Tribolium castaneum: one gene and its partners. Each later gene encodes a partner of the first gene's protein in a complex. Links are inferred from orthologs where the notes say so. Each region holds a gene or a part of one and is shown in the gene's direction. Other genes may lie near its edges.

What was found.
Region 2: the proteins of raptor (region 1) and lateral signaling target protein 2 homolog are in contact, whole or in part, in a cryo-EM structure (PDB 9F43), measured with the Homo sapiens proteins. The link is inferred for Tribolium castaneum from reciprocal best matches to the Homo sapiens genes RPTOR and ZFYVE28. Residues at the interface, in NP_065812.1 of Homo sapiens: Arg54, Arg305, Arg306, Thr317, Asp321, Phe337, Arg338, Leu341, Ala344, Arg348, Leu437, Gln438, Leu440, Leu441, Ser442, Gln443, Arg446, Pro474, Tyr475, Lys478, Leu479, Gln481, Ser482, Ser483, Ala484; in NP_066023.2 of Homo sapiens: Arg399, Val400, Phe401, Phe402, Met403, Asp404, Asp405, Val406, Glu407.
Region 3: raptor (region 1) and rictor share a complex: the UniProt entries of both Homo sapiens proteins name them as parts of the mechanistic target of rapamycin complex. The link is inferred for Tribolium castaneum from reciprocal best matches to the Homo sapiens genes RPTOR and RICTOR.

Annotation. Positions count from the first base shown.
Region 1 is NC_087399.1:3,465,857-3,471,230, reverse strand, and holds the start of raptor (regulatory-associated protein of mTOR), read left to right. Parts: upstream 1-2,085; 5' UTR 2,086-2,242; coding exon 2,243-2,398; intron 2,399-2,447; coding exon 2,448-2,550; intron 2,551-2,595; coding exon 2,596-2,837; intron 2,838-2,888; coding exon 2,889-3,268; intron 3,269-5,073; coding exon 5,074-5,174; intron 5,175-5,228; coding exon 5,229-5,374. Other genes in the region: Arpc2 (probable actin-related protein 2/3 complex subunit 2), read left to right, coding at 528-555; EKC/KEOPS complex subunit Tprkb, read left to right, coding at 1,502-2,008. UniProt on the Homo sapiens protein: Component of the mechanistic target of rapamycin complex 1 (mTORC1), an evolutionarily conserved central nutrient sensor that stimulates anabolic reactions and macromolecule biosynthesis to promote cellular biomass generation and growth.
Region 2 is NC_087395.1:24,479,542-24,484,915, reverse strand, and holds the start of lateral signaling target protein 2 homolog, read left to right. Parts: upstream 1-1,568; 5' UTR 1,569-1,894; coding exon 1,895-1,930; intron 1,931-2,143; coding exon 2,144-2,422; intron 2,423-3,631; coding exon 3,632-5,374. UniProt on the Homo sapiens protein: Negative regulator of epidermal growth factor receptor (EGFR) signaling. Acts by promoting EGFR degradation in endosomes when not monoubiquitinated.
Region 3 is NC_087395.1:23,063,871-23,069,144, forward strand, and holds part of rictor (rapamycin-insensitive companion of mTOR), read left to right. Parts: coding exon 1-751; intron 752-2,503; coding exon 2,504-3,195; intron 3,196-3,241; coding exon 3,242-3,354; intron 3,355-3,401; coding exon 3,402-3,905; intron 3,906-5,274. UniProt on the Homo sapiens protein: Component of the mechanistic target of rapamycin complex 2 (mTORC2), which transduces signals from growth factors to pathways involved in proliferation, cytoskeletal organization, lipogenesis and anabolic output.

The DNA of each region.
Region 1 (5,374 bases):
AGGAACAAAGTTGTAGAGAATTAAATTTCCTACAAAAAAGTCCGCGATACCATATTTCTATCTTTAACGGTTTAGCTATAAATTAACTCTCCGATACTTGGCAACCGGTAAAATGAAACAAATCCGTCGCTTGAGCGTCTTTGGACCACTTTGGGGCCAAAATGGTTGAAGATATGGATATGGTCTCGCGGACTTTTTTTTAGCAAATTCAATTCTCTACAACTTTCTTCCTTACACTTTTTTTGTATCTTCAACCGTATTCGCACCGTTTTGAAAAATATGGGGGAGTGCAAATTGGTAAAAGTTTGACATTTTTTTAATTACAGTTTACGATAAATTTTGCTTATGTTGAGAATTTAATGCTTCATCTGTCTGTATTTTTTGTTTTACTAACATAACCAAGGAACAACTGCGCTCTCTGGCGACACTGACGGAACTATCGAGAACGGAGCGTTTTATTTGTACGTCGTTTCGTATCCTAACTTTTAGACATCCGTATCATAATTTAATTGATTGATTTGTTACAGAGGGAGAACTTTCGTTCGACGGGATTGATGTGTATAGTACTAGTGAACTTTGCTTGTAAGATCAGCTCAAAAAAGGACTAATAACTGCCGACAATTTATTAAACTTAACTGTTTCATTCAATTTTCCCATCAGTCAGTTCTTGCACAGCCTCTCTTGCAGTTTATTTATTAAGTCAATCAATTGGTTCATTCAGTACTGAATGCTACAGTTCAGTTAATAGAAGTGCTGATTTTTCAGCTACTTGTGTACATAGATTCAATCTTTTAACCATGTGCTTCCTTTGAAATATGGGTAAGCACATCAATATTGTGAATTATATATTTCTAATACAAAGTTTAATTACATATTTTTTACCCAGTTTGCGAGACGTGTTTTAGGTTTTTTACTATGTATCCGCTTGTTGTTATCATTTTGATTCGGAACGATCCTTTTTACTATTGAGAACTTGAACCGCCAAATAAATTGTATAACTTAACATAGTTTAATAGGTAATAAATGAATCGTCAATTTCTATAGCAGGTTGCAATATTTTCGGATTTCTGTAGGCAATTGGACGCATTCTTCATGCTCATTTCATTTTTATATTACATTAACAGAGCAAGACACTGTTTAATTCAATAATAGAAAATAAAATGTTATTTTAAAGTCTGTGTATCATTTTTTTACCAACTCGAAAACGTGTGGCGACACTTGATTGAACTTTATTAAGCCAGGATGGCCAACTCAAGCAGTCATTTTGGATGACTTGCTACTAACGCGAAATTCCTATTATTTTAAATTATTAAAGGAATTTCAAAAGACTGTATTGAGAGTATCAATAATTGGGTGGGAGCAGCAAACACGCACAATTTTATTTGTAATTTTATTAATCATTTTCGTGCGTTACAGATTCTACAGTAGCGAATTTCTCGCCTGAGACTGACAATAAACCTAACCCTACAATTCCACATTTTTTATTATTCACCGTTAAAAAATGGTTAAAGCGGCATTGGACCCCCTCGTGAATAAAACCCTCAACATCCGTTTATTCCACAGTGTTGAGAACGTGTCCGACTTGCGTAAAAAAATAATGTCAGGTCAACTTGAGTGTTGTCTCGTAAACCCCAAGTTGATTGTGGACCCGTTCCAGTTAGTCGTGGCCGCAAACAAGGCCCTAACTGCCAAAAACCGCACCACTAAAACGATTTTCACTGAAATTTTATTCAATTTGTCTGTATCCAAACACATAACGAAAAGTTTGCAACAGTTTGGGATCACTGACGACTGTAGAGACTTGCTGGTGGTGACTGTCGGCGACGACGACAGTCGCGTTCTTTCTGAAATTAAAGGCACGGAAGTGGAGTTGGGGGCACTTGAGGAGATTCGGGATTTGGGCGCTGTTAAGAAGGCTTACAAGATTGGGCCTGAGGAAGGGGCGACTAGCACTATTGTGGACTCCGTCGTCAGTAGGATAGCCACTAAGGATTTTATCTCGCATTGATTGTATTTAATATTGATAATAAATTATTAAAAAAGCTCTAAAAGCTGTTTGATTTTGGTGTTCCCGCTCGAGTGAACGAAAAACCCTAACAGTTGGTAGTAAGATGGCAGTTTTGTTGTCGTGCCATGCGTGTGTAAATTTTAGGTGTTGATTCCGTTTTTTGATGTAATCGTTACGACTTAAATAAATCCCACTTCACAACTCCTAAAAAACCCGAAAACGCGGCTGAAAACTATGACAGAGTTGGGTGTCAACGGCAATGACGAGAAAGACAGTGACAAGGAGGCTGTCTCCGACAAGGACCTGCCCCTGAGCTTCATGCAAGACAGGCACTTGGAGCCCATCGAGGGCGTCGAGTGCATAACGCAGACATGGCGCATGAAAGAACGCGTAACTGCAACCCGCCCACAAGTTGCTTGTTTTAATTACAAAATTCCAGATGAAAACAGTGAGTGTGGCCCTAGTTCTGTGTCTGAACGTGGGCGTGGACCCGCCCGACGTGATGAAAACCCAGCCATGTGCGCGTCTGGAGTGCTGGATAGGTAATTAGGTCGGCATGCGTTCGCGGAATTCAGGTCGTGTTCCAGATCCCTTAACCTTGTCCGCCCCAAAGTCGATCCAGAAAATCGGGGAGAACCTGCAGGCGCAGTACGAGCGGTGGCAGCCCCGCGCGCGCTACAAGCAGTCCCTGGACCCCACTTCGGAAGAAGTCAAAAAACTGTGCACTTCGCTGCGCCGCAACGCCAAAGAGGAACGCGTTCTGTTCCACTACAACGGTCATGGAGTTCCTAAACCGACGGAAAACGGTGAAATCTGGGTGTTCAATCGAGTAAACAACCCCCAACTAGCCCCAGCACTTTACTAACCAGTTCTCACACAGACCTACACGCAATACATCCCCCTGTCCATCTACGACCTGCAAACGTGGATGGGGGCGCCCTCGATCTACGTCTACGACTGCTCGAACGCCGGGATCATAATCGAGTCTTTCGAGCGGTTTGCCGCCCAACACGAGGCCGAGTACGAGCAGGCCACGAGTCAGTCGCGGCAAAATCCAGTGGTGGCGCCTTTGCCCTCCTATAAGAGTTGCATACAGTTGGCGGCGTGCGGGGCGAAGGAAGTGCTACCGATGAATCCTGATTTACCGGCCGATTTGTTCACGTCTTGCCTTACTACGCCAATCAAGGTCGCCTTAAGATGGTTCGTTCTACAGTCTACCTCAAAACTAGTGCCCAAAGTCACCCTGGATTTGATCGATAAGTGAGTAACCACTTGTTTTGACTTGGAAGTGGGCCAAGGTTGAGCAATGATGCGGACCGCAGACTAAACGCAAACACTTGACGGTTAATGAACTTTTACCGAAATGAAATTGACTGTTCATATTATTTTTAAACAGTAATTTGTGGCTTCGAAAAATTACACCGATAAATATGTTTTACAACAGATTGATATCGCTAGAGTAAGGTATTAACTTATCGTAAAAATATAGATTAACTCGCACTTGCATTAGGTAATTAAATATTTATTTTTAGACGTAATTTACCTGCCTATCATCGGACTTAATCTATTATTTATTAATAAAATAAAGTGTGAAGCATTTTTGTTTGCGTTCCTGAAATAATTTCTATTGTTGCGTTCTAATTATAGCTAGAAGAATTTATTTTTACGCACTTTAAAACTAATGCTGTTTTTGTTTGTTTTCCTTGGCAAAGCAGTTTTTACTCCTTCGAGAATTATAAAAAACTGGTGTAATGACAAAGAATGAACTTGACCCAAACCGCATTAAAAGGTCAGGTCCAATTATGAAACATAAACAGATAAAAGTGGGTCTAAAATTCCATTATCTCCACTTGGAAACTATTTTTTAGTTTTGAAAATAATCACTTTAATAAAATATAATGACATTTTAAAAGTAATTTACGAAAATGCTGTTTCTCTTAAGAACATTACGATTTTACTATTTACCACGACATTTTTGTAATCGATTATATTATTAATGGAATAAATAAGGTGATGTTTTTTTATCTTCTAAGTTTCCAAATTTAAACGATACAAAAATAAAGATGGAGTATTGTCGGAGTTCAAATACGAAAATTGTTTAAATATCCACATTTTGATGAAGTATTAACTGGTTTTGAAAAAAGCGCATGAAATCCTTGCCACTTTTTTGTAACAAAAGAGCAGGTAATTATGTTGAATTACTTAGTACAAAACATTCAATTGCACTAAAATATCCGGTATTTTTTATTTATTTTCCTCGATCCAAAATTCCAAAAATATTAAATCCATAATTACTATTGTGGTTAAAAGGTTAAAAAAAAGTTTCAAACCTTTAAAACAGCTCACGTTCAAGCTGTACATACGTCAGCTTCCTCAATCTTCACCCTCTTATATTGTATTTTTTGTTTTTACGTTTAAAAATCAGTAATTTTTGGGTGTCTTTTTTTTTAATTTTTAATTTAAATCTCCAAACGTTGTAAGACTGACAACTTTTATGATTATATTATAATAATATTTAATAATAACAATAATAGAAATAATAAAAAAAAGTAATAGTATTTTTCGACCATAGTGTAACTGTTTTACTTTTGCGTTTCATCATTTTTATTTTCACTAACCTTCCTGACAATAAGACGAATAAGAGAAGTGATAGTTTACTATTTACTAAGGAAAGAAGGTCGATGTTTTTTTGTAATTTTTTATAATTTATCTGAATAAATACATTTGTGGATAAAATTGTAGGAAATCTAGTATGTCCTATAATAGACAGGCAAAATAAAAACACCGTACTTGAGTGTTTTTCAGTTTAATCATGTTTATACAGTTTTTTTTTCAGTTTTAATAAAGTTTGTTTCAATTTTTTTTTATAAATACTAATTACTAAACTTTCTCATTTGAGCTGAATTACAAGGTTTATACTATTTATTATGAATACTGGGCAAAAATTAAAATAAAAAGATGCAAAATTTAGAGAAAAAAGTTCATAATTACTTTTGATTTTTAGTCTTAAGACTAAAAAGACTTAAGACTTAAAGACAAGATTATTTTTTCTTTCATTTTCCCAGAATACCGGGTCAAATAACCGACCGCCGCACAATGCTCGGTGAGCTTAATTGGATCTTTACAGCAATTACAGACACCATAGCCTGGAATACGTTACAGAGAGGTGGGTTAAATAAACACAAATCCTTCGAAAAAAATACAAGTACAAAAATTCCAGATCTTTTTCAAAAACTCTTCCGTCAAGACCTCCTCGTTGCGTCCCTTTTCCGTAATTTCCTCCTCGCTGAACGCATCCTAAAATCGTGCGATTGCACTCCCGTCAGTTCCCCACTGTTACCACCAACCTCCCAACACCCCATGTGG
Region 2 (5,374 bases), on another chromosome or scaffold:
TGTTTTTTCGGAATTTTTACCTACTAATTTCTCCGTCTGACTTTTATCGCGTGACAAATTTCTGTCGCCAGTCGCACACACACAAAAAATACTTAAAACAACGACTGTCTAAGCCTGCTGTGCCGTAATCAATAGTAATAGGGAGATAGGGCGGAATACCTACGAAATTACTTGTAAATGCCCTCGATAATCTCCGAGAAACGGACTAATGTTTTTTCTTGGATGGCCGGTTATTTATTACGGGAGATATTATGAAAGTTTCATTTAATTTCTCTGAATTTTTAACGGACGCTTTCAGCTGCTTGCCTTATTTTTGTTAATTAAAAGACGACGTTTTGATTTGATTGTGCTCAACGTCAAATTAATCACATTTCTCCACTTGTAATTATTCTTTTCACATCGTAGTCACAAGCTTAATTAACAAAATCAACTCTTCCTAACGATAAATTACCGACAGTATTATTCACACCATAAATTGTTGTAGAAAATTAATTAGAAATGGAGATAACACCTAATTAACACTTTCGCGAAATTTTATCAAAAAATACATAAATTTATTAATTGCCAACTTTTATAACGCAATTAAATTTAATTAGCAAGTTTTGCGGCCCAAAATGCTAGTCCTTGAAAATCACAATTAAATTAAATCATCGAGAAGGCCAGGTCATTTCATACAAAAAAAAATGAGTTTTATAAAAATTAACACAAATCTAACATAATTTTTCCTGAATCTCCGTAAAGTAAAACGATTCACTAAAGTAGGGTAAGTGGCAGGGGATAGTTTATTAAAGCGTCATTTTAACTTTGACTGTACCATCCCTGATTACAAGTTATATAACTCTGCAACCAACAATAGGGTCCAGCATAATTGGTTGCATAATACTATAATTTTTTGTAAATTGCAGTTTTTGAAAAATTAAGCGTGCGTTTGATAACTATTTATGTAAAATTACTAATAACACTAATGCAATAGTAAAATAATTACAAACTATTACGTTTGCGGATAAAATATTATCTGTAATTCGGAGTAAGTGACTTTATGTGCCTAAATTATATGAAATAATAAATAACTGTTCAGCTGTGCCACATAAAGTAGCACTTTTAATTCTAGCACCATAATCTACTATTAAGAGGCTTACCTTGCAGCCTCCAGTTCCAGAAAAAGCCACAACTGTGTTTTCTTTAAAGCCCTTTTAGAACCACTTGAACCAAGTAGTTTTTTAGCACATACACCACTTTGTTACACCACTAGGTTTTAATTACGAGCATTACGACAATGATTTAAACAAAAACACACTTTTTAGGGGAAAAACAGCCGACACGGCGGGTCAGTGAACTGTCTAGACATGTAAGGGCGCGAAAAAGTGACAATGGTACCAACCAACCCCAACCAAAAACTTGCTAAAATTTGTAAAAACTTAAATAATTGAGGTAAATTAATTATAAAGGGACACTAATTTTCAAAAATTGTTATTTTGTGCCCTCTTTACGCAAGTTTCCAGAAATGGGGCTTGAAATTTTATAGTTATTCGTCTAGTGGGTTACAGAAACCTGTAATTGGATTTATGTAGGTGTCAGCACTACGTGCACACCTGTCAAAATCAGTATGTCGTGTGAATCATTCCAGACGTTTTGTTGTCTTGAAACGTGCTAATCGCCTCAAAAGTTGATAAAACCGTAGTTCTAAACTCCAGAGCAATAACTTGGATAATATTTTATCGTTCTCCAAGCGCCATGACGCCAAAAGCAGCCTTGTCTCCGTGTCGTAAAAGCCCATTATTTAGTGCAAATAGTGATGATCAACATGGTTTCTCTTGAAACCGTGCTCTAATTTCCGCAAAAGTTGCCTATAATTCGTCGGAAGCAGCTTGTGGACGATGCAGGAAGCCTGAGGATGGAGTCGTTGCGGAAGTGGTTCTACAGACCAAAGGTGAGCCCCGTTAATGAATTCAATGTCGCAACCTAATTTCCCAACGGTCTAGTTTCTTTTTTACCTCCTAATCGACGAATTAATTTCGCTGATTAAGTAGGCATCGTGCAATTACGCGTTGTTGTTTTGTTTCGCTTTCTACGTCGTGACGTCATCCGATCAAAATCAAAAGTTTCCCCAATGTGTGACGTCAGGCCTTTTGTTTTCTTCCAGCGGGATGACAAATCTTTGTTGGCGCAATTTTTCTTCGCCGACGAAGCTTTGAACATCATCGCCAACGAGTTGGACAGTTTTGATGGACGCAAGGACCCGGGGAGGTGCACCACGTTGGTCAACCAGCTGAGGCAGAGCCAGGACAAGGTGCTGACGATCACCAATGCCATCATGGATGTGCTCATTGGCGACGAGAGGGCCAACAGGGACTTCAGGGTCAAGTTCCCGGAGGATGTGCTCCAGGAGAATTTGGCGGGACAGCTCTGGTTTGGGGCTGAGGTAATGAGCCCTTTGGCTGGTTTTCGAAATTTTCCGTTATTTGCGCATTATCGTCAACAAGCCAAACGTCAGTGATAATTTTAATAAATATTTTCACCGATAATAATGTTTTTCGGTGTTTGACCTTAATTATGCAAATGTCAGCGATTCTGAACTGGTCCAAGCATGGGGAAATTATCGATAATTTGTATTTTTAGACGGGTTTAATTAAATTTCGTTATCTTGCGACTTGTAACGAGTATGACTAAGTTTTGTTGTTACACGAATTTTTCTTATCTGTGTTTGTTGTACTGTTAAGCGGCAACACAAGGAAAACAATCAATTAATAACACTAAAAAACAAGAGGGAAGAAGGAAAAGTTAAAAAAAATTGGGCAAGAAACTATGGTCTCTTGACAGAAATCTTAACTTATTAAATTGGTTAAAGCAATACAAAGAAAATAAAATAAAATGTAAGATGTACAAAAAAATAATGCTTGCGTTAAATAAAACTTTCTTGTTGAATCCTTACCTAAATTTTCCTAAACATTCCTCGGTAAAATAACATTTAGGAACAATAATAAAAAATCTGAAAAAATTGTTGCTACAAAAAACTTTGGTAGTGGAATAAAAATCTAAACTTGTTTCCAGTTGCTAAAACAATAATGTTTAGTTATCAGAATACATATTTACGATTGAATAAATTCGAGAAAGTCTTCTTGAACTACATACTAATTACTTTATTTATTACTAACGAAGAATTTTGAAAGCAGTAGGTTTTTTGTTATTCAGTTTGGGCATTTCTGTCTTTGTTTTACTAAATATCACAAAATTAAAGCAAACATTAATGAATAAGAATTTTTTTTTGAAATGAGTTTATTACAAAAATAAACAACTTTGGTCAACTTCATTCAACCTCAGACGCAAGCAAGGTCTAATGAGCCCGATAATTTGTACAAATAAGCACCCACTTATCGAAATTTTCCATTTTTAACACTTTACTCGTAATTAATTTTCCGCCCGATTTTCATAAAACAAATGATAAAACTTGACCTCAAGCATTTACGAAGTTATAAAACGGCGCGATATCACCGTATTAAAGTAAGTATTTAAAGCGACCCTGAAATACCAAAACCGTAAGTCAACGACGTCAAATGAGCATTTTTCGTGACACAATCGCACGGAAGTGCCCATAAAAGGCCATGCCTTGAACAGCACCGCTTTCTTGCAGTGTTTGGCGGCCGGCTCGTCCATAATGAACAAAGAGGCCGAAAGCACGGCCATGCGCCCCCTCGCCAAAGCCGTCACCAAGAGCTTGGAGACGGTGCGCAACCTCCTGCGCGACACCTGCCTCCGCAACAACACCCCCAACGGCCCCATCAAGCTCGACAGCAACGAGCTCGTCACCGAAATGCTCCTCGAAAGTTTAAAAATCTTCGATAAGTTATTCGCCGAGTTTGAGCTCGCCTACGTCAGCGCCATGGTCCCGGTCAAGTCCATGCAAGAGTACGAGCTCCAGGAGCTGATCGGCGTCCTCTTCAGCGAGACGTTGCAACGCGCGCTTAAAATGAAGCTCCTGAGCCAGGAGATGGTCGACGATTGCGACCCGGCGCTCATGTTTACTATTCCGCGACTGGCGATCGTAAGTGGCCTTTTGATTTTTCCAAGTGGACCTTTGTGCGTGGACAGACCGATCGAGGAGATGAGCAATATGTTTCGGCCGTTTCGGACTTTGTTGCACAAGATCCGCGAGCTGTTGTGGACGTTGAACAAGCGCGAGTTGTTCATGTTGGAGAAGTTGTTGTGCGATAACGAGCAGATTAGTGACGTTAAGTCGTTCAGTGATAGTGATTTTCGGTACGATTTCATCGACCAGTTTTACGGTGACTTGCACCGCGAGGAGGTCGTGGTTGTGGCCAAGGGGGAGGTGTCCGTTAACAAGGATAAACCCGTTGTTTATCCCCTTGAAACGGACACGCCTTCGACTTCGGGGTACTTGATCCCGAATAGTATAGCTCATGATATCGTGGTGGCGTCGGTTGTGGAGCCCCAGCCTGGGGACTCGCCCCCGGATCACGACTCCCTGGAGGTGATCTCGGTGGCCGCGGCCACGCTATCGTCGATTTTGGCCGAAAACGAGTCACCGAACGATTCGGGCGTTTGCACCGAAAACACAAGTCTTGACCGGTCACCAAGTCTCGACTGTCAATGCGGTGTGGGCTGCAAGTGCCGGAAAACCTCCCCCAGGATCAAAGGCAAAGGCAAACTCCCACCGACTTTACCGCGGAAGAAGCGACAAGTCGAAGATGACGCTTCAAGTGTCGGGAGCTCGGACACCTCCTCGTTCAACAGCAACGACGATGAGGAGATCGCGCTGGCCATGCAAGCGGCTCAGATCGCCGAAGTCCGTTCGAAGTACCGCTCAAGTGAAGACCTCATCCACCGACTCTTCGTCTGCATCGCTGGAGTGGCCGACCAGCTCCAAACCAACTTCGCCAGCGACCTGCGGAACATCCTCAAGTCGGTTTTCCTGATGAACACCTCGGACGCGGCCGTGGACACCACCTCCTTGGAGGCGTCGCTGGAGTACCGGCCCTCCGAGCACGACGTGATCGAAAACAACGAATTCTCCGTCGACCCGAACATCCTGGCCCAGGAGGCGCTTTTCGACACCAACGTCTACTTCCACCTGGATCCCGAGTCGGAGGATGGGGAGTATACGAACCATCCGAGGCAGGAGCCGAGTCAGGCGAACAGTTCGAGTGAGCGGCCGCCGATTTGGATCCCGGACGTGGAGGCGCCCAAGTGCATGTCCTGCGGGATGAATTTCACGGTGGTTAAGCGGAGGCACCATTGCAGGAATTGCGGGAAGGTTTTCTGCGCGAGGTGCTCGTCGAATAGTGTTCCTTTGCCCAAGTTTGGACACCATAAGCCCGTGAGGGTTTGCAATAAGTGTTTTATTTATAATCTGACG
Region 3 (5,274 bases), on another chromosome or scaffold:
CTACTTCCTCTTCCTCGGCCGTCTCTCCTCCACCGACGTGGGAATGCAGCTGCTGACCAGCTTACAAATCTTCAAGCAACTCGAACACTTGGCCACAACCACGAACAACGACTGTTACGTCAAGTTGATCGTGTCGTCTCTGGACTACAGCAACGCGGGGCCTTGTCGCGACCTATTGACCGAGGTGTTAAAGTGCGCCGTTGAAAGTTCAAGACTGTACGCCACCCAATTTCTACTAGTGCTGCTAAGGGCCGGAATTAACAATTTCGCCGACTGGGGCGTTCGGTGTCTAGTCAAACAGTTGAAGGATCCGTCGCGGTCGGTGTTCCTCGCCGCGTTAAACACACTGCATGAGGCTTGTGAAGTCGAAAGCTGTTTAGAGACTTTAGTTAAGTTAAATCCGGACTTGGGCCATTTGGGCGAGAAAGGCTCGTTGTTGGCGCTCAGGTTGTTATCGATAACTTCCGGGTTTCAATTGTTGAACAAGAACGACTTCGTTGTGAACGAAATTAAACGATGGGACGAGTATTTCATTTATAGATACATTAAACTAGTCGAGGGTGAAACCTCCGATGCTTTGACTTTACATCAGAGGGACGAGGACGGGAAATACGATAAGAGGACAAGCACGATAAGGACGACAAATAGGAAGGATTTTTTCTTGCCGCCGCATCTTTACGGACAATTGGCGCGGCACACTGATGGCTTTCTCATTCTAGTGCAGCACGGGTCGCTGGAAAACATGATTCAGGTGAAACACCCATTTATTTTGTACCAAAAAATTGTACAAATTCAAAAAAAATTATACTGGACTGATTGCCCTTTTTTCGGGTTGTAATTAATTCTTTGAACATTATTTTGCAAAATAGAAAACACAAAATAGGAACTAAAAAAATCCTTGATGGGTCGTATGTTTTTTATCAGTCTCTGTCAGTGAGTGATTGCCAGAACAAATTATTTAATATAAAATTTACCAATATAATATTTACCAATCTAAAAAATAGTGAAATAAAAAAGCGTTTATTTGTTTAACGAAACGCTGTAAGTGCTAAGTTTACAAGGTGAAACTTCTAAAAGTGTGTTTTACTAGATTGTTCCATGGTACATCTAAAAAACTAATACACAGATAAAAATGAGCGTTTGCTGTTAAATACTTTTTTTTTCTCTGTCTGTGATTTTTTTCAGAATTTTTTTTACAATCCTTTATACTTGAAATGCTAGAAATTAATTAATATTGTGTCTATTTATTGCTAATGATATTCTGAAATGGTGTTTTGTGCAAATATTCCTACAGAAAATTATTGCTAGCCCATGAAAATAAAGAACCCCTAAAGTTTATTTACTTTGTGGCTCATATTTAATTGTAAACAACTTCTAATTCGAGTTATTCAAAAAATATATATAATAAATAATAATTGACACACCACCACGGCGATTTTTTTGCATAAAACAAAATTTATGCATTTTTAATTTTTTTTTTTCGAAATTCATTTTAGTTTTCGAGTTGTTCAAGAAATATATATATAATAAATAATAAATGATACTCCACCACGGCGATTTTTTTGGTAAATGATTGTGCTTTAAAATTGCTTGAAAATAGTATTATTTTTTAACCGGTGTATTTTTTTTTAATAAATTGTTATGTTTTTATTTATATCCATGAATACAACTTCTTCGGCTAAATTTGAACAAATCGTCGTAATGAGCTCGGAACGTAATTCTAATACTTTATTAAAAAAACACTGTTTTAAAAACAAAATTATTGAATTAGAAGTCATTTATAAAAATATATTTGAAAAAAAAATTTTTTAATAACTCGAAAACTAAAAAAAATTGAAAAAATTATTTTTGAAAAATGATTACATTTTAAAAGTAGTTAATGATACATAATACTAATTAGTTTTTTCGTAAGGTACATAATTAATTTAGACACAAAACGTTTGGTTCAAAACTCTGTATAAGTACCTACTGTTATTTTCTATTTCGCGTTTGTTGACTATTTTTTTCATCGTCATCGTTATAATTCTTTTTTTTTGTTTTTTTTAATTCGTCTGATTCCTGTTGGCGCTTTAATCTGGGTTTTTTCTTGTACCCTTTTTAATTTTTATTAATTACGTTTTTTTCTTTAATTAATTGTTTACCAGATTTGTACTAAAAACGGTGTTACAAAGTCAAAATTTTTAGCACTGTTCTTAGTAATTTGGTATGCTGTACTATTATCAGCTCTGACTTGTTTTTTTTCTGAGAAACATTGGTATTATTACCCAATTTTAATAAAGTGTAAGTTAATTCTTCGAAAATCATTTTGCAAAACAGAAAACACTTATACACAGCACTTATATAAAATGAAAAAATACCTCCAGTTTTTATTTATTTTGTCACTGTCGCTGCCAGCATAAATTATTTAACGTGAAAATTGCTACACAATTCAAATAAATATTTTATAAAACTTCGAAATTACGATTTAAAAGGCGCTCACATTGCGATAATTCTTTATTTCTAGTTTCTCACGAATGGCGTTTGTGAGACCGAGGACGATATTTTGAAACTGAAAGCCTCAATATGGGCTTTGGGCCACTTCGGCAGCACCAGCGAGGGCCTAAGATACCTAATTTTGCACAACTGTTTGGCAGCTTTGATAACCTTGGCACAAGAGTGCTTAGTGTTCTCGATTCGGGCAACTTCGTATTACGCCCTCGGTCTAATCGCAACAACGCGACAAGGCGCCGACGAACTCTTCAAACTGGGTTGGTTTAGCACACGTCATAACCGACACGTGGCGTGGCCAATCATCGAAGAGGAGGCGTGGGACGAGGACGAGGACAGTTTACGACTTCCGAGTAGTTTCCCCGATATCACGCCCACTTTGTATTACTTCGACTCGGGAATTAAGGACGTAGAGGGCAGCACTGACGACGATACGTCCGAGTCAATGTTGCCCGATTCCACAGTGGCAGGCCCCCAGAAAAGCCTGACTTTGCCGGCCAATCAGAACCAAGCGGCGGGCTACCACAAGAGGTCGCTGTCCGAGTCGAAAACCTTCGAGATTATCCGAGCGCCTCAGGACAGTAAAAAAGGCAGCTTCCGATTGGGTACCGAGATTGTGAGGCGCGTTCGGAACAATTCGACCACGGAATCGACCACGTCCGGGGTGAGTTCGTGCGATTCCTTCGGCGGAGGCAAATCTGTGATCTAGTAAGTCACTATTTTACATTTGTTTTTTCTTAATTGGGCATTTCAGCGAACGGCCACAAATCTTGAGTCCTATACCAAGTTCCTGTAGTCTCAGTACGTTAAAACAATCGGCGAAAGTGCGGCGTCATTCGGAATCGTCACGGCGTGTCTCAGTTCAAAGTAACTTAATAGGCTATGCTGGGCGTGGCTAATGGGCGTGTTTTCAGGCGGGTCTAACTCGGATCGCTCGCTCCAATCGCTGGGCGGGGGCGGGTCCAGTAAGCTGAGCCATCAGGATCTGGTTGGCTATGCCACACTTCGTTCCTTACGAAAATCGCCGAGGTATTTGGAAGAACCCGCCTACGACTCGGACGATATCCGGAGTGATAGTAGCTGGGATGTTCCCGTTTCACTAATCGAAGATTTCAATCTTTTAAATACCACTGGGACAAGTATTAAGCGGTTTAGTGTCCACGATCGGAACGAAAGCGAGGATCGGTGTTACATGGGCGTGACTTTGCCTCATGACATTAATCATTTGTTTCTGGATGTGGACAGTGAGGCACGTGATGCCTCTTTGGAGAGATTTCCGATCATTGACGACGAGATTGTCTATGCAATGCACGATTTTAAAGTGCGTGAGGAGACACTGTGGAGGCACGATGTTGAAACGTGCCTTGTTTGTTCGTGGAAGGGGCCCAAAGACGAGGTTTTTGTCACGACATCTAGCGGTAGGTATTTAATTATTATGTGGATTTAATTCGCGCTTTTACGCTCTCTGGTGAAGGATTTTGAACCGTTAAACTACTATCAAAGTGTCAAAAAAAATTCTATACTTTGATTATCGTCTTGTCATATTTCGTGTCGAATTTGGTGAAACAATTCAGGACGTAGTTGGATTTAAATTAATTTAAAATAAAACACATTTCTGAATTCTGTTTTCAAACTGAGTAAAATTTACCCAAGTTGTTGGTACTTATCTGTCATAGTTTTTAACATTATATCAGTTTTATTTATAATATCACTGCTCTTGAACCATTTGCGATAAGTGAATAATTTTTTTACATTCTGTAACCGAAGGTTTGAAAAGCTTTCTGAAATTTTCAAATTTGTTGACTGTCAAAATTCAAGGCTAGTATGATTTCTTGAAAATTATTATCGTAAACGGCTCTAACTCAGTTTTTTTTATGGAATCACCTTATTTTCTCAAAGGTAATCGAAAGAACATCGACATTTATGGTGACTTATTAACACGTCTTATACCTATCTCTTACGGTTTTTGAAAAATCACAAAAAAGGATTTTATTTTGTAATTTTCATCGTGAATCAAGTAGACTTTGCAAAATGGTCAACAATTGTCAAATTTCAACATTTTATTTCGTTTTTAGCTGTATGATTATCGAATAAGTAGTAAAACAATAATATGTAATTATGGTTTATTATAAGTTAGTGAATTATGTAAAGTATGTAACTTAGTCAGTCTGCCTTCGAATTTTTAACTTCTTAAATAAAAATGGTGGACATATCGAACATTTCTTTTAATTAATTGCACACCTTATCGAATTTTTCGAAAGTTTATTTAGTTAAAAATGAAAATATTGAGCTAAAATTCCGTTTTTTGCGTTTTGATTATCATTTAAAAAAATCATAGTAGCCTTGCAATTTGACTGTTGACAGTCTTGAAGATTTTAGAATACCCTTTGAACTTTTGGTTATCAAATGCATAAAGAATTATTCACTTCTTGTAAAGGGTTTAAGAGCTATAATTTTTTAAATAAACTCCTGTAAATAAAAAAAAATTCCAAAAAAATTACATGTCAAAAACTATGACAGGTAAGTACCTTTTAGTTACTTTCAAAAGACGAATTTAAAAATTCAATAAAAATAGTTTTAAAAACTTTCTAATTAGAACCTAAAAGAATCAGCCTGTATCATTTAAACGTTCAATAAAGCTTAGAGTGAATAGAGTGAATATAAGAAATTAGAGACACGGGTCGTGTTTGGCATAATAACAATTAAGCACTCGACAGATGTTATTGTCATCTGTGTTATTAGTTAATTGATATAATTATTAAGTAATTATTTTTTTATTCAATATAA